Tamandua tetradactyla: one gene and its partner. Each later gene encodes a partner of the first gene's protein in a complex. Links are inferred from orthologs where the notes say so. Each region holds a gene or a part of one and is shown in the gene's direction. Other genes may lie near its edges.

Region 1 (7,050 bases):
AGAACAAGGATAATCACTTATGTAATCACGCTAAGTAAAATTATTAAGTGCAAGAAATTTAACATGGATATAAAGCTTAGTCTATATACTAATTTTTTCATATGTCTCAATAATGTCCTTTTGGGCCTTTTCTCCTCCATTATTAGATCCAATCCAGGAACGTGTAATTTGGAACTGTACATGGAAGTATAAAGTGTTCAAGAATCATTATAGGTACAACCTATACTCAAAGGCATGTGTTTAATGTGATTTCCACATTAAATACATTAATGTGGAAATAGATATGCAACCATATGTAGTGTATATACTTTAGTGGATTAAAACAAATTCCCAGTGTTGTGTTACCCTCACCACCATTCATCACGAGATCTTTCTCATCATTCTAACAGAAACCCATTAACTCCTCATCCCTCCTTCCACAACCTCTAACCTGTATGTGCTGGTTTGAAAGGCTTTATGTGCCCTAGAAAAGCCATGTTTTAACCTTAATCAGCCTTGTGGGAGCAACAGTTTCTTCTAATCCCCATTCAGCACTGTATGTTGGAGACTTCAATTAGATTATCTCCCTGGAGATGTGACTCAATCAAGAGTGGTTGTTAAACCTGATTAGGTGGAGACGTGTCTCCAACCATTCCGGGTGGGTCTTGATTGGCTTTACCGGAATCCTTTAAAAGAAGAAGCACTTTGGAAAAAGCTAGAGAACAAGAAAGTCGAGAGATTCTGAGAGAGCAGAGAAGAATGATATAGCCAGGAGAAGCAGAGTCCACCAGCCAGTGACCTTCGGAGATGCAGAAGGGAAAGGCTTCCCGGAGAACTTCATGAAATAGGAAGCCGGAGAGAAAGCTAGCAGATGACGTGGTGTTCACCATGTGCCCTTCCAAATGAGAGAGAAACCCTGACTGTGTTCGCCATGTGCCTTCTCACTTGAGAGAGAAATCCTGAACTTCATTGGCCTTCTTGAACCAAGATATCTTTCCCTGGATGCCTTTGATTGGACATTTCTATAGATTTGTTTTAATTGGAACATTTTCTCAGCCTAAAAACTGTTAGTTTGCAACTTATTAAATTCCCTTTTTAAAAGCCACTGAGTTTCTGGTATATTGCATTGTAGCCAGCTAGAACACTGTACTCTACTTTCTGTCTTTATTAATTTGCATATTCTAGTTATTTTATATATCTCTCTAAGCTCTTTTGTTTTCATTTGTTCAAATTAAATTTTCCTTAAGTTATGTTTTGCAAAGGATGGTTTTTCTTTTTGGTCTTTTGTCCTGTGATCTTTTCCTTTCCTTCTACGCCCATCTTGTCTCAGAGAATTTTCTCTGAGGGAAATCAGGAATGATTTCTAAGTATCAATGTCTTATCAAACTTGGCTTTAACTTCTACTTCAAGAATTTTGAATAGCCAAAGCAGATACAAAAGCTATTTTAGGGTAAGCCATGGTGGCTCAGCAGACAGAGTTCTTGCCTGCCAGACCAGAGACCTGGGTTCGATTCCCCATGCCTGCCCATGCAAAAAAATAAAACAAAAAAAATTTCATCTATCTGCTACTGAATGTTTATTTTCCTTTTGGAAACATTGGACCTCTTTTTTCCCCTTTAAAACTGGACATAAATATATCATGCTCATACTTCATAAGCCCCATTGTGGTACCAGTTGTTTCGGAGAGGTTAAGAGTTAACAAATGATTATGATGACTGAATCATTATATAGATACCTTTTTACCTTCGAGTAATTGTAGAATAGCCAAAGTAAATATCTGAATCTACTGAGACTCCCTGAACCTTAACCCAGATGCCTTGATTTTTTTTATTAATTTAAAAAAATTAACAAACAAAACATTTAGAAATCATTCCATTCTACATATATAATCAGTAATTCTTAATATCACATAGTTGCATATTCATCATTTCTTAGTACATTTGCATCGATTTAGAAAAAGAAATAAAAAGACAACGGAAAAAGAAATAAAATGATAATAGAGAAAAAAAAACTATACGTACCACACCCCTTACCCCTCACTTTCATTTACCACTATTTCAAACTGAATTTATTTTAACATTGTTCCCCCTATTATTTTTTTTTCAGATGGGCAGGCACCAGGAATCGAACCCAGGTCCTTGGGCATGGCAGGCAAGCACTCTTACCTGCTGAGCCACCGTGAACTGCCCTGTTCCCCCTGTTTATTTTTATTCCATATGTTCTACTCTTCTGTTGATATAGTAGCTAAAAGGAGCATCAGACATAAGGTTTCCACATTCACAGAGTCTCATTGTGAAAGCTATATCTTTGTTCAATCATCATCAAGAAACATGGCTACTGGAACACAGCACTACATTTTCAGGCAATTCCCTCCAGCCTCTCCACTACATCTTGAACAACAAGGTGATATCTACTTAATGCGTAAGAATAACCTCCAGGATAACCTCTCGACCCTGTTTGGAATCTCTCAGCCATTGACCAGATGCCTTGATTTTGATGATTATCTCTTTATCTTATGATTGTAAAAGCCTTGTGATAATTTGTAACTGGCCCCGCTTATACCCCTTTATCCTGTTTTATAACATTTAAGTCTTGTGATAACTAGACAGCCTCTTAATGTTTATTAAGGAAGTAACTTAAGGAGCCCAGAACCCACCCCAATTCCTAAGCTATTTTACTAGACAAAACTGGATCTAACTAAAATTGGCCCATTTGCCAAGTGCAGTAGGGTAAGCCTTAACCTATGTGACCTATACCTAATGATAAAACTAAAAGTCATACCCATCATCATGTTAAAGCCACCACCTTCTTATATATATATTCTCTATCTAGGCATGTAATCAACTTGTGCATGCTTAATTAGATCATCTCTAACTTTGTCATTGTGAGCCATTCTACTCATTATCCTAAAACCTGCCTTTGATACTATAAAACTCTCAGAGTTATTGTAGTTTGGAGACAAAGATTTTGGGTACACAGGCCATCTGTTCCTTGCTTCGCACTTGGCAATAAATGCTTTCTCCCAGTGAAACCCTCGTCTCAGGAATTGCTCATTTGTGTAAATTGGGCAGAGAACCTCCCACCCCACCCCCCGGGTTTGATCACTAAGGCAGTCACAAAAAGATCAGTGAAACTTTGTGAACCATTTGGAATATGCAGCAAAATACAGATGGTAGAAACGCTGTGGAGTTTTGTGTAAGGCTATGCTAAATTTCTTCCTACAGATGTCTGACCTCAGTGACAGGGCTTTTGATGACACTGATTTTCCTTCTCTTAGTTAACAATCGTGTTCAAAACAAAAAACCCTTAAAGTTTTATTGGGGTGAGAGGATTTTCCTAACTCTCGAAGTCATCTTATTTCCACTAATACAAATAGATTATTCGGAATAACCTCAGGGAAAGAAGTTTTCCAGGTAGGGCACTCATACATTTGTCTGGTTTTCAAAATAATTTCTTTCCTAAATAAAGGAAGCTGCTACATTTTCAGGCATTCTTAAGTCTTTCAAATTTCAAATATCTTTAGTTCGTTCGAAAAGTCCTTTACATAAGAAATTCAGAAAAAGTACTATTCTCTTACTTGACAACTGTTATATGGCATTGAAAATAAACCAATTTCACAATTTGAAGTTATTGGGGGCACTTTTAAGTTTTCTGTAACAGAGGCACGGATTCCCTGATTGCTATTGTTTGGTCCCGGCCTTTATTTGCAGAAAGAAAACCAGTGTTTGTGCTTAATTAAACCAGCCTATCTGTCTCTGTTTCAGCGGCATCAGTTTCGTTCAAGTACGTCCTGTGTTTTGGGGTGGGAGTGGCGGCTACTGCCTTCGAACACAAGTCCGTTGGGCCGACGGGGCTCCCTTTCCTTGGACACCGCCAGGAGAAGCAGCGACTGTATCAAGGGGACTAGGAGGAGGCGAGCAGAGCCGGCCACGCGGGAAACCGCGCGCTCCACACGGCGGGGCCGGGACCCAAGCGCCAGGAGCCGCCCCAGGCCACGCACGCGCACCCGCGCCGCCTCCGCCCGGGGTGCCGCTCGCGCCGCGCTCGCGGGGCTGTCCTCGGCGGCGCCTGATCGGTGCGGAGAATTACTGTGAGGACAGAGTGGCCTTGGCTGTTTTCCCTGATGTGTTGTCGAGGCCAGGAAGGAGCGATAGTTTTAGAAGGCCGCAGAAGACGGGTTGTGACTGAGAAGAGAGGTGCCTGCCGTTTTGGAGGGTTTGGGCCTGAACGGCAGTGCAGGAGGCGCTCAGGCGGGGTCTTCTCTGCCAGCCGGACTGCGAGCAGGCGGGTCGAGCGGGAGCCTTGGAGCTTTGGCGTCCCTGCGAGTTCCGGGCGGCTGGGTCGCGGCGACATGGAGGATTTCGATGGCGAGCCAGTAGTCACTGTAAGGGCATCCCCGAATAGGCTTGTTTGCCCTCATGGTCCGAAGGCTGTGCCTGCTTGTACGTTTTGGGCTTTTTAACCTACGTACCGCCCTCGAGAATGTCGGCTTATTGGCCACGGTCGGGAGGTCTCGACACTAACTAGATGCCAGAGTTGGGTTTGCAGTGGTAACTGGGTTTTTGCTCTTTTATTCCCTCAGAAACCTGTCCCCTGAGGGCCTGCTCCCTCCCTAGGTCTCCGGTCCTTCCCATTTCCCCTGGCCTTTCCTCTTGGGTATTAGAGCAGGCTTGGACCAAGCAGAAGGAAGATTTTTTCTTCCAGCCGAACTAAACTCCACATCGTAATGCCGGGAGCTTGGACTCTGTCAGCTGTTTGTACAGTGTTGGCCCGAGGTTTATTAAACTTATTCTCTCGGGAGACTATTGCTAGTTTCATTGCTCTGTTTGCATTCAACTCCGTTTGAACTCGAGAACAGTGTCAACTGCGGATGATCTTAATGTTTATAAATAGATTCCTAGGTTTTAGATACTATTTAGTTACCGCTTTCTCTGCTTGGAATAGTCCCCCCTTTGGTTTTGGTTTATCTCTTACTCACTATTCAAATCCAAGCACCAGCAGCTTCATTTTCAGGAAAGCCTACCCTGACCTTGAGTAGGTGAACTATCTCCTGTCTGTTATAGGCTTTCAGAGTTCTGTACTTCTTAGCTGTTAACAAACTGTAATTAACTGAGCGTGTGTTTTTGCTTTTTAGAAAGTTGAAATGACAACAGTTTTCATCTAAAACCACCAGATTGCAAAGCAGTCTATGACAAACCAAACATTGAAAATAAGGATCTTTCAAAGCTAAATAGACAGAAATAAGACATGAGATATTAAGTAGGAGCAAACTAACATGGTTATTACTTTCTATTGAGCTTACTGCTGTAAAGTTTAAATATTTAATATGTATCAAGTATTTATATCAATGTTGGTGGTGTATGTAAGAAGAAGAATTAGAAAACCAGGATTACTGATATAACTTTTTGAAAGTATATGTCGTCTTTTCGTTTCACAGTCCACTTATGTCAGAATCTTTGAATGAGGGAAACTTCCCTGTCAAACCCTGGAGAACCTTTTCTCTGATACTGGGATATGCATTTTCAAAAGGGACAAAATGTTCAGCTAGGCCCCCTTCCTCCCCCAAGTGATGATGATTAATTTGTGGTAACCACATTCTGCATTGGTATTGGGGAGACCCGCTAGGAAGCTGGTTTGCCTGTGGACAGAGCCTCACTGCATGGCACCATCTTGGAAGAATTTCATAGTCCAAACTCTAAGCCTGGACTCTGCAAATTCAAATGAAACTGTTTTCTGTATTTGAGAGTTAATCTGTGCTTTGGGTTTACTCTAATCAGACTCTCAAGAGAATGATAAATAACCCTGAATACCTGAATAACATTTTATTAATATACCTCTTATAGTAGTTGTCTGCTGTTCAGGCAACTGCTTCTTATCAGGGCACATGAAGGCAATTTGGTAATTAGCACATTCAGTGATGTCTCAGCATAGATTAAAGAGAGTAGGATAGTCTTGGGTGGGTAGTTCATCTAGACCAGTGGTCTTAGCCTTTTTAATTTATTTTTGGGGTCAAGGACGCTTAAGAAATGTAAGTTATAGTCAAATTTTCCCTCCAAAAATGCCCCATGCATGTAATTACATGTAGTTCAAGGACCCATGGAAACCCAGACATGAAGCCTCATTTCCCTTTCCAGTCAGTTTCCACCATCCCACACATTGAGTTCTAGCACCATACATTAATTTTGCCTGCTCTTGAAATTTAGCTCAGTATTTGTTTTCTGTGTGTGTTTTTCAAGAACTCATTGTTTTTAGGATTTGTTATGTTGTATGAATCATGTTTCTTGTTGATAGATACTTGGGTTTCCATTTTTGGCTACCGTGAATAAAGCTGTTCTGTGTTCCTGTACAAGCTGGTAGTTTTTGTTTGTTTGCACATACACGTTCCTTTCTTCTGGGTAAGTGGAATTGCTAGGAGTTAGGGTAGATGCATATTTAGCTAGAAGAAGCTCAGTTCTTCTATACCATTTTTTTTTTCACCTGTACCAGCAAATTGTGAGAAATGCAGTTGCTCCATACCCTTGTCAACTCTTGGTATGATCAGTCATATCATTTTAGCCATTCTAGTGGGTGTGTTGTGGTATCTCAGTGTCATTTTAATTCATATTTCTCTAATGACAAATGATATTGAGAATCTTTTTACATGCTTATATGTCATTTGTATATCTTCTTTGGTGAACTGTGTTCAAATTTTTCTCCCATTCTATCTGGTTGTTGTTTTTCTTGAGTTGTAAGAGTTCTTTATATATTCTGGACCGAAGTCCTTTATCAATTAGATGCTTTACAGATATTTTCTCCCAATCTATGGCTTGCCTTTTCACTTTCCAATATCTTTTTAAGAGGGAAAGTTTTTAATTTTAATGAAGTCCTTTATAAATCTTTTTCTTTTATGCCTTCCATGGTTTGTGCTTTTTGTGTTCTAGGAAATCTTTGTCTCATTCAGAGTAAAAAAGATGTTCTCCTTTGCTTTGTCTATATGTTTTATAGATTCTGCTCTTACTTTTTAATTTTTATCCCCCCCCCCCCCCAGTGGATATCCATATGTTCCAGCACTATTTGTTGAAAATATATCCT
Region 2 (7,390 bases), on another chromosome or scaffold:
AGAGATGAAAGATACTGCAGAGAAAGTTAAAAGTATACTAGAGACCACAATAGAAGATTTGAAGAGGCAGAAAAAAGAATAAGTGAATTAGAAGAAAGGACAATTGAACTTGAATGCATACAAGGACAAATGGCAAGAAAGACGGAAAAAGCCAAACTAGATCTCAGGGAAATGATAGATTACATAAAGTTCACAAATATAAGGATTATCAGTGACCCAGAAAGAGAAGAGAAGAGTAAAGGGATAGGAAGGCTAGTTAAAGGGATAATAGGAGAAAATTTCCCAACTCTTATAAAAGACACAAAGATGAAAATCAAAGAAATCCAATGAACCCCAAATAGTATAAGTCCAAATAGGCATACTCCAAGACACAAGCTGATCAGAATGTCAAATATTGAAGAAGAGCAAAAAATCATGAAAGCATCAATAGAAAAGCAATTAACTACATATAAAGGAAACCACATAAGACTGAGCTCAGACTACTCAACAGCCACCATGGAGGTGAGAAGGCAGTGGTATGATATATTTAAGATTCTGAATGAGAATGATTTCCAGTCAAGTATTCTTTAACCTGCCAAGCTATTCTTTAAAATTGAGAGAGAGATTAAAATCTTCACTGACAAAAAAAGGCTAAGAGAATTTGCCAAAAGAGACCTACCCTGCAAGAAACACTAAAGGGAGTTCTGTCGACTGAAAAAAGAAAAAGACAAAAGAGGAAGGTCTGGAGCAGAGTATAAAATTGAAGACTTACAGTAAGGGTAACTTAAATGATTATATGAGAAAGAAGGAAAAGAATATATAGGTCTGATAAATAAACACTAAAGGTTAAGACGATGATTCAAGAATGGCCTCTACAGCAATAGCTCTGTATGTTAATGGACTAAACTCATCAATTAAGAGAAAGATCAGCAGAATGGATTAAAAAATAAGATCCATCTATATGCTGCTTATAAGAGACTCATCTTAGACATAAGGATACAAATGAATTGAGAGTGAAATGATGAAAAAAGATATTCTATGTAAGCTCTAACCTAAAGAAAGCAGGGGTAACTATATTAATTTCAGAAAAATAGACTTTAAAATGTACCGACATCATAAGAGATGAGGAAGGACACTATATATTAATAAAAGGGACAATTCACCCAGAAGAAATAACAATCATAAATTTTATGCTCCCAATCAATGAGCTCCAAAGTACACGAGGCAAATACTGGCTAAATTCAAGAGAGTAATTGACATTTCAACAATAATAGTGGAAGATTTCAATACATCACTCTCCTCTATAGGTGGGAACAACTAGGCAGAGGATCAGTAGAAATCAAGGAGAATTTAAACAATGTGATAAATGAATTGGACCTAATTTATATATATATATATATGGATCGTTACACCCTAAAATACTAGGACATTCTTCTCTAGTGCTCATGGAACATATTTCTAGGATAGATCATATATGGGAAGACAAATCAGGTCTTTGTAAATTTAATAAGATTGAAATTATTCAAAACACTTTCTCTGATCACAATGGAATTAAGTTGGTGTGCTGGTTTGAAAGGATGTCTATCCCCTAGAAAAGCCATGTTTTAATATAAATCCCATTTCATAAAGGCAGAATAATTCCTATTCAATAATCCCTATATATGTTCAAAACTGTAACCAGATCATCTCCCAGGAGATGTGATTCAATCAAGAGTGATTGTTAAACTGGATTAGGTGACAACATGTCTCCACCCATTTGGGTGGGTCTTGATAAATTTCTGGAGTCCTATTAAAGAGGAAACATTTTGGAGAATGAAAGAGATTCGGAGAGAACAGAGAATGCTGCAGCACCACAAAGTGGAAAGTCCACGAGTCAGTGGCCTTTGGAGATGAAGAAGGAAAATGCCTTCCGGGAGCTTCACGAAACCAGAAGCCAGGAGAGAAAGCTAGCAGATGATGCCATGCTCGCCGTGTACCCTTCCAGATGAGAGAGGAAGCCTGACTGTATTCGCCGTGTGCCTTCTCACTTGAGAGAAACCCTGAACTTCATGAACCACGATACCTTTCCCTGGATGCCTTAGATTGGACACTTGTATAGACTTGCTTTAATTGGGACATTTTCTAAGTCTTAGAACTGTAAACTAGCAACTTATTAAATTCCCCTTTTTAAAAGCCATTCCATTTATAGTATATTGCATTCCGGCAGCTTAGCAAACTAGAACAGTTGGAAATTAACAATCACCAAAGAATCAGAAATTTCACAAATACATGGAGATTTAATAACACACTTTCAAACAATCAATGGATCAAAGAAGAAATTACCAGAGAAATTTGTAAATATCTGAAGATGAAAGATAATGAGAATATGACATATGAAAACTCATGGGATGCAGCAAAGGCAGTGCTGAGAGGAAAATTTATTGCCCTAAATGCCTACATTAAAAAAGAATGAGTAAAAACTGAGGACCTAACTGCTCACCTGAGGAACTAGAGAAAGAATAGCAAACTAACCCCAAAGCAAAAAGAAGAGGAAAAAAAAAAAAAGATTAAAGCAGAAATAAATGAACTGGAGAACAACAACAAAACAATAGAATCAACTAAACCAAAAGTTGTCTTTTGAGAAAAGCAATAATATTGATGGATCCCTAGCTAGAGAAAAAAAGAGAGGGTGCAAATAAACATAATTAGAAATCAGAGGGGGTTGTTACTATGGATCCTGAAAAATTTTTAAAAATTATAAGAGGATATTATGGAGAACTATATGCCAACAAACTAGACAACTTAGATGAAATCGACAAATTTCTAGAAACATATGAATTAACAACACTGTCTCAAGAAGAAATGGAGATCATAACAAAGCAATTACAAATGAAGAGATTCAATTAGCTATCAAAAGTCTTTCTACAAAGAAAAGTCCAGGGCCGGATGGCTTCATAGGGGGAATTTTATCCAATGTTCCCAAGAGAATTAACAATTTTTCCACATTCTTTCATAAAATTGAGGAAAAAGGATCACTACCTAACTTATGAAGCCAATATCACTTTAATACCAAAACCTGATAGAGACACTACAAGAATAGAAGATAGACCAATTTCTCTAATGAACATAGACGTAAAAAATCTCAACAAAATTCTAGCAAATCAAATCCAACCATACATTAAAAGAATTATACATCACAACCAAGTGGGATTTATGCCAGCAATGCAAGGGTGGTTCAACTAAGAATATCAATTAATGTAATACAGCTTATTAATAAATTCAATGGGAAAAAGCATATAGTCATATTGATTGATGCTGAAACAGCATTTGACAAAATTTAGCATCCTTTTCTGGTAAAAGTACTACAAAAGGCCACCCCCCTTCAAGCTTTGTTTCCTACGCTGCTGTGCTCTTTCCCTTCTCTAAACTTATGCACATTCCTTATACATGTTAGTGTTACAGATTGTTCATCTTTCTTCTCATTTATCCTATCGCCAGTCTAGCTTATTCATGTTTCTAATTTGCAGTTTAGTTCAGTAGTTTGTGAAATTTCACAGCAAGATTCCAATTAATGCAACAAATATTTATTGAGCAACTATATATGTCAAACACTGTTTTAGGTAGGCACTAGGAAGAGAGTTAAATGGAAGAGACAACCCTGGGCTTCAAGAAATTCACCTTTCAGGGGAGTAAACACAAGCAAACACATTAAATACCAAAAGGAGCTTCGGAAGCTTGCTTCAGTGGTGAAGATAACAACAGGTGTAAAAAGCGCTTACAGCACCAGAAAATAACAAAGGACATTAGTGAACAAAACCATTCAAGTGAAGATGCGAGGAGAAAGTGCAATTAGGTACAGCTTCACCGTCAACAGCCAAATAATTCAACCCAGTGATTATCCAAGATCTGCTAGGTTCACTTGGACAGTCTATAAGGAAAAAAAAAGTAGATTTATACCTATTGGAATCAGGGGGGTAAGAGGTACTTAAATTTGCGGTATGAGCAATCTCCCCATGTATATAGGCCACGCAAAGTTTTAGAACATAGTGGGTTCAAATTCTATAGCTATCGTGCCCCAGCTGCACTCTCTCTATCTGGAGGGTAGCTTGGGGCTCGTCTCTACCATTCCTTCCTCCGAGTAAGCGCCCTGGCTGGCTTCCTCGCGTGAGGCCAGGGTCACCCACCCGCCGCCTAAACCGGCCGCGCAAAGGATTCAGGGAAATAAAGCATCTGGCCAATCTAGAGGACGAGCAGGGCAGTAAGCGACATGCGGCAGGAAGTTCCTTTGATTGACGCTAAATTTGCCCAATGGGAACATAGAAGTAATGGGGCTCCCGCCCGAATAGGCAGGACATTAGTGATTTTCAACCAATCCAGCTCAGAACTGTATCTTGTGGGAGGTCCTCGAGGACTGTGAGGTCGTTGTTGTCTGTTGAACGGCTTGTTGAAATCGTGCTGCCCTGGGTAGGGGGTTAAGATCGTTTTTGAGGAACGTCTCTGTCCGAGGAGAAAATGAGTTTAGCTCTGAGGTCGGTAATGAGGAGGCCGTAATGCCGGAGTGGGACCGGTTTGTGTGTGAGTGTGTGTGTGTGTGTGTGTGTGTGTGTGTGTGTGTGTAAGGGAGGTAGTTTGGGTCCGAGGCGAAGAAAGAGAGGCGGGAACGGTGGACGGAGAAGGAGCCACGGCCAACATCCTGGGTCTGGATCCCTCACTCAAGGGTCCCGCGTGTCCGCAGCTGTTGAGTCCTGTGCATTTCTGCCGAGTTGGTCTTTTCTGTCACCCCTTGTACTTCGGCCCACCTAAAAGGTGGTTGCTGTGCTTACGAGCGAGGAGGGGATGAATTATCGCGAGATTTCTACTCAGGGTGCTCCTGGGAGAAATCCGGCTGTGTAGCAGCTTTTAATTCAGGGGCTTGTTGCCAATTTCCAGCCTCCACCTTTTCTGTCCCAGTGCTAATGTCATCCAGCCGTACATTTTGGAAATATCACAAAACTCGCTGTTCTCCTGGGGTATATGGCATAACTGGGGATCTGTTTTACTGATTAATAGCCCATCTTTATCTTGGAGTTCTTAAATGTCTTTTCAGTTCTAACCTCTAATCCTTCTCCGCCTGTTTCCCCCCTCTCCTAATTCAGTCATCAGTGTAAAAATTTTCAGATAGTTAAGTCACTCTAAAAGGTTCCGTGTTTTGCTAAGGGACGACTGTGGTACCTTCTGATGGGGTCAGTTGTCGGTTGCGGATTTTCTTCTCGGAATCTTGGAATAGGAATGACTGACCCCGGGAAGTGTCCAAGCTTGTGTGAAGTCAGGTCTCATGTGAAATAAACATCTTTCTCATCCTTCATCTCCTTGTCACTTTCTAGCCATCTCTTCTTGCTTTTTTGGGGTAGATTTCAGAGACCAAAATGACCTTCAAATGCAAATAGATAATGTGTTCCAATAAAATCAACTGGGTTTACATTTTAAAGTTTTGTAAGAACCTATTGGCTTTTAAAAACTTATTCAAGTGTTATAGCTTATTTGAAAATTTGGAACATTTTTAGATCTCTTAAGATACTTGTGCTTTTTTAAATATTTTTTTCTTTAGACTTTTCCATAGTTTATGAGAAATTTAACATATAATTTACTTGTTAAATGAGACCTAGAAGACCATTGACTTTCAGCAATTAATATTCATATATTTAGACTCAATATTTTGGCTAAGTTAATGTCAGTGGAAGAATTACAGATACAATGCTAATCTATTAGGAACGTGTAATCTAAAACATTTTGAACCTGTAGTGCCAAAGTACTTTATAAGTTAGTAAATAAATTGTATGTTTTGTTTGTGGTAATTTTGATAACTACAAGTACTATCAAAAATACATAAAATATATAGCGATATTGGTCATTTATCATTTGACTTTGACTTGGAGGTTTTTTAAAACACTTTGTATTGTAGCGTGATGTAAATAATAAGTACAGGTGCTACAAGTGCTTTGCTTTTTTTTTTTTTTTTGACATTTCTGACTTGAAAGTAATGTTTCTTATTTCCAGTTCTTGTTTCTTCCACAGTAGTATTAGTGGTGTTAGAAGACTAAGGAAAATTAGGTCCTTAATTCTTTTAATAACCTGTAATGCAGTTCATTCTTAGGAAGGGCAAATTTATAGCAGCTAAAATTGTGGAATGAGCAGAGAATTCACTGGTAAGGAAAATTTCTCTTTCTCTAAAATACTTCCCTTTTAGAAATTTAGAAAATCATTCATTGGCTGTTTTTTCTTTGCACTTTTGCAATCTTAGTCATTTAGAAGCATACGAGAATAGGATTAAAATGGTCTAAAGGCTTTTTTTCCCCTCATTTATAGAAATGAGTTTGTAGTAGACAAAACAAAAAGGAAAAAAAGAAGAGAACTCTCTGAGGAACAGAAGCAAGAAATTAAAGATGCTTTTGAGCTGTTTGATACAGACAAAGATGAAGCAATAGATTATCACGAATTAAAGGTAATAGTGTACTTTAGAAACTATATTTCTCAAAATTATTTGCATTCTTTACAGTTGCTTAAAATACGTTTCTAAATAATTTGACTAACAAATTTGTTTTGGAAATATGAAACCATTTTAAGCATTCATAGTAAGGTGCTATAATAAGGCTGAATAGTCTCCCTGATCAGGTTTTTAGAAAATCCTTTTCATGTGGTATTAAAATAATTCGTATTTTAAGTGTAAAAATATATCCCTATCGAAGGTACTTGTTTTTCATTTACATAAATAAAGGATTTCAAACTATGGGATGTAAACAGTTCTTATATTCTTCCCACTTTTTTTTTTGACATGTTCTTTTTCAGATTGGGGGGAGTGTTATTTGTTTTTTAATTTGAACATTTATTAATACGGTTTCAACCTACTTTCTCTGGTTGCAAACCTAAGTCTTGTTTGATGTTGACACAGTGCTAATGGAGGAAATTGTCAACTTTAAAGCCTAGTATTTATAGACATGCAAAGGAAAATTGGCATTTAAGGTAGTAAGGGTCTTATACTAGGTACAGTGAGAAAGGTGGTATTTTGAGATTTTTTGTAGTCTTTGGATAGATGAAAATAAATGTTTATTTGATAGTTTTAATTTTGGTACTTTTGTAAAGAGGGAATTTTTAAGCACAAAAATTCTGAGTAGGGAAAGTGGCTATGCAGTGACAGGCTAGAGAGCAGTAATAGGCCTATAAATCTGACTTTCCCAGTCTCAGGTCCTCTATCGCTCCCTTCCCACTGCTTTTTAGTCACCCAGATTTGATCAGTTCTTCCTTTATAATGTCTCTTCCATTTGTTGACATTATCAGCATCTTAGATTGGGACCTTATTTTATACCTAAACTTCCTAATTCCTAAATGATTTCTCTGTTTCTAGTTCACCCTGTGCAATACCATTTAGAGTCATCCTTCTAAAATTCTTCTTTCA

The links. Proteins that work in one complex are often made in the same cells at the same time.
Region 2: NUP85 (region 1) and CETN3 share a complex: the UniProt entries of both Homo sapiens proteins name them as parts of the nuclear pore complex. The link is inferred for Tamandua tetradactyla from reciprocal best matches to the Homo sapiens genes NUP85 and CETN3.

What each region holds. Positions count from the first base shown.
Region 1 is NC_135332.1:15,620,031-15,627,080, forward strand, and holds the start of NUP85 (nuclear pore complex protein Nup85), read left to right. Parts: upstream 1-4,021; 5' UTR 4,022-4,102; coding exon 4,103-4,363; exon of another isoform or gene 4,364-4,397; coding exon of another isoform or gene 4,398-4,421; intron 4,422-7,050. UniProt on the Homo sapiens protein: Essential component of the nuclear pore complex (NPC) that seems to be required for NPC assembly and maintenance. As part of the NPC Nup107-160 subcomplex plays a role in RNA export and in tethering NUP96/Nup98 and NUP153 to the nucleus.
Region 2 is NC_135347.1:40,872,305-40,879,694, forward strand, and holds the start of CETN3 (centrin-3), read left to right. Parts: upstream 1-4,334; 5' UTR 4,335-4,470; coding exon 4,471-4,487; intron 4,488-6,303; coding exon 6,304-6,439; intron 6,440-7,390. UniProt on the Homo sapiens protein: Plays a fundamental role in microtubule-organizing center structure and function. As a component of the TREX-2 complex, involved in the export of mRNAs to the cytoplasm through the nuclear pores.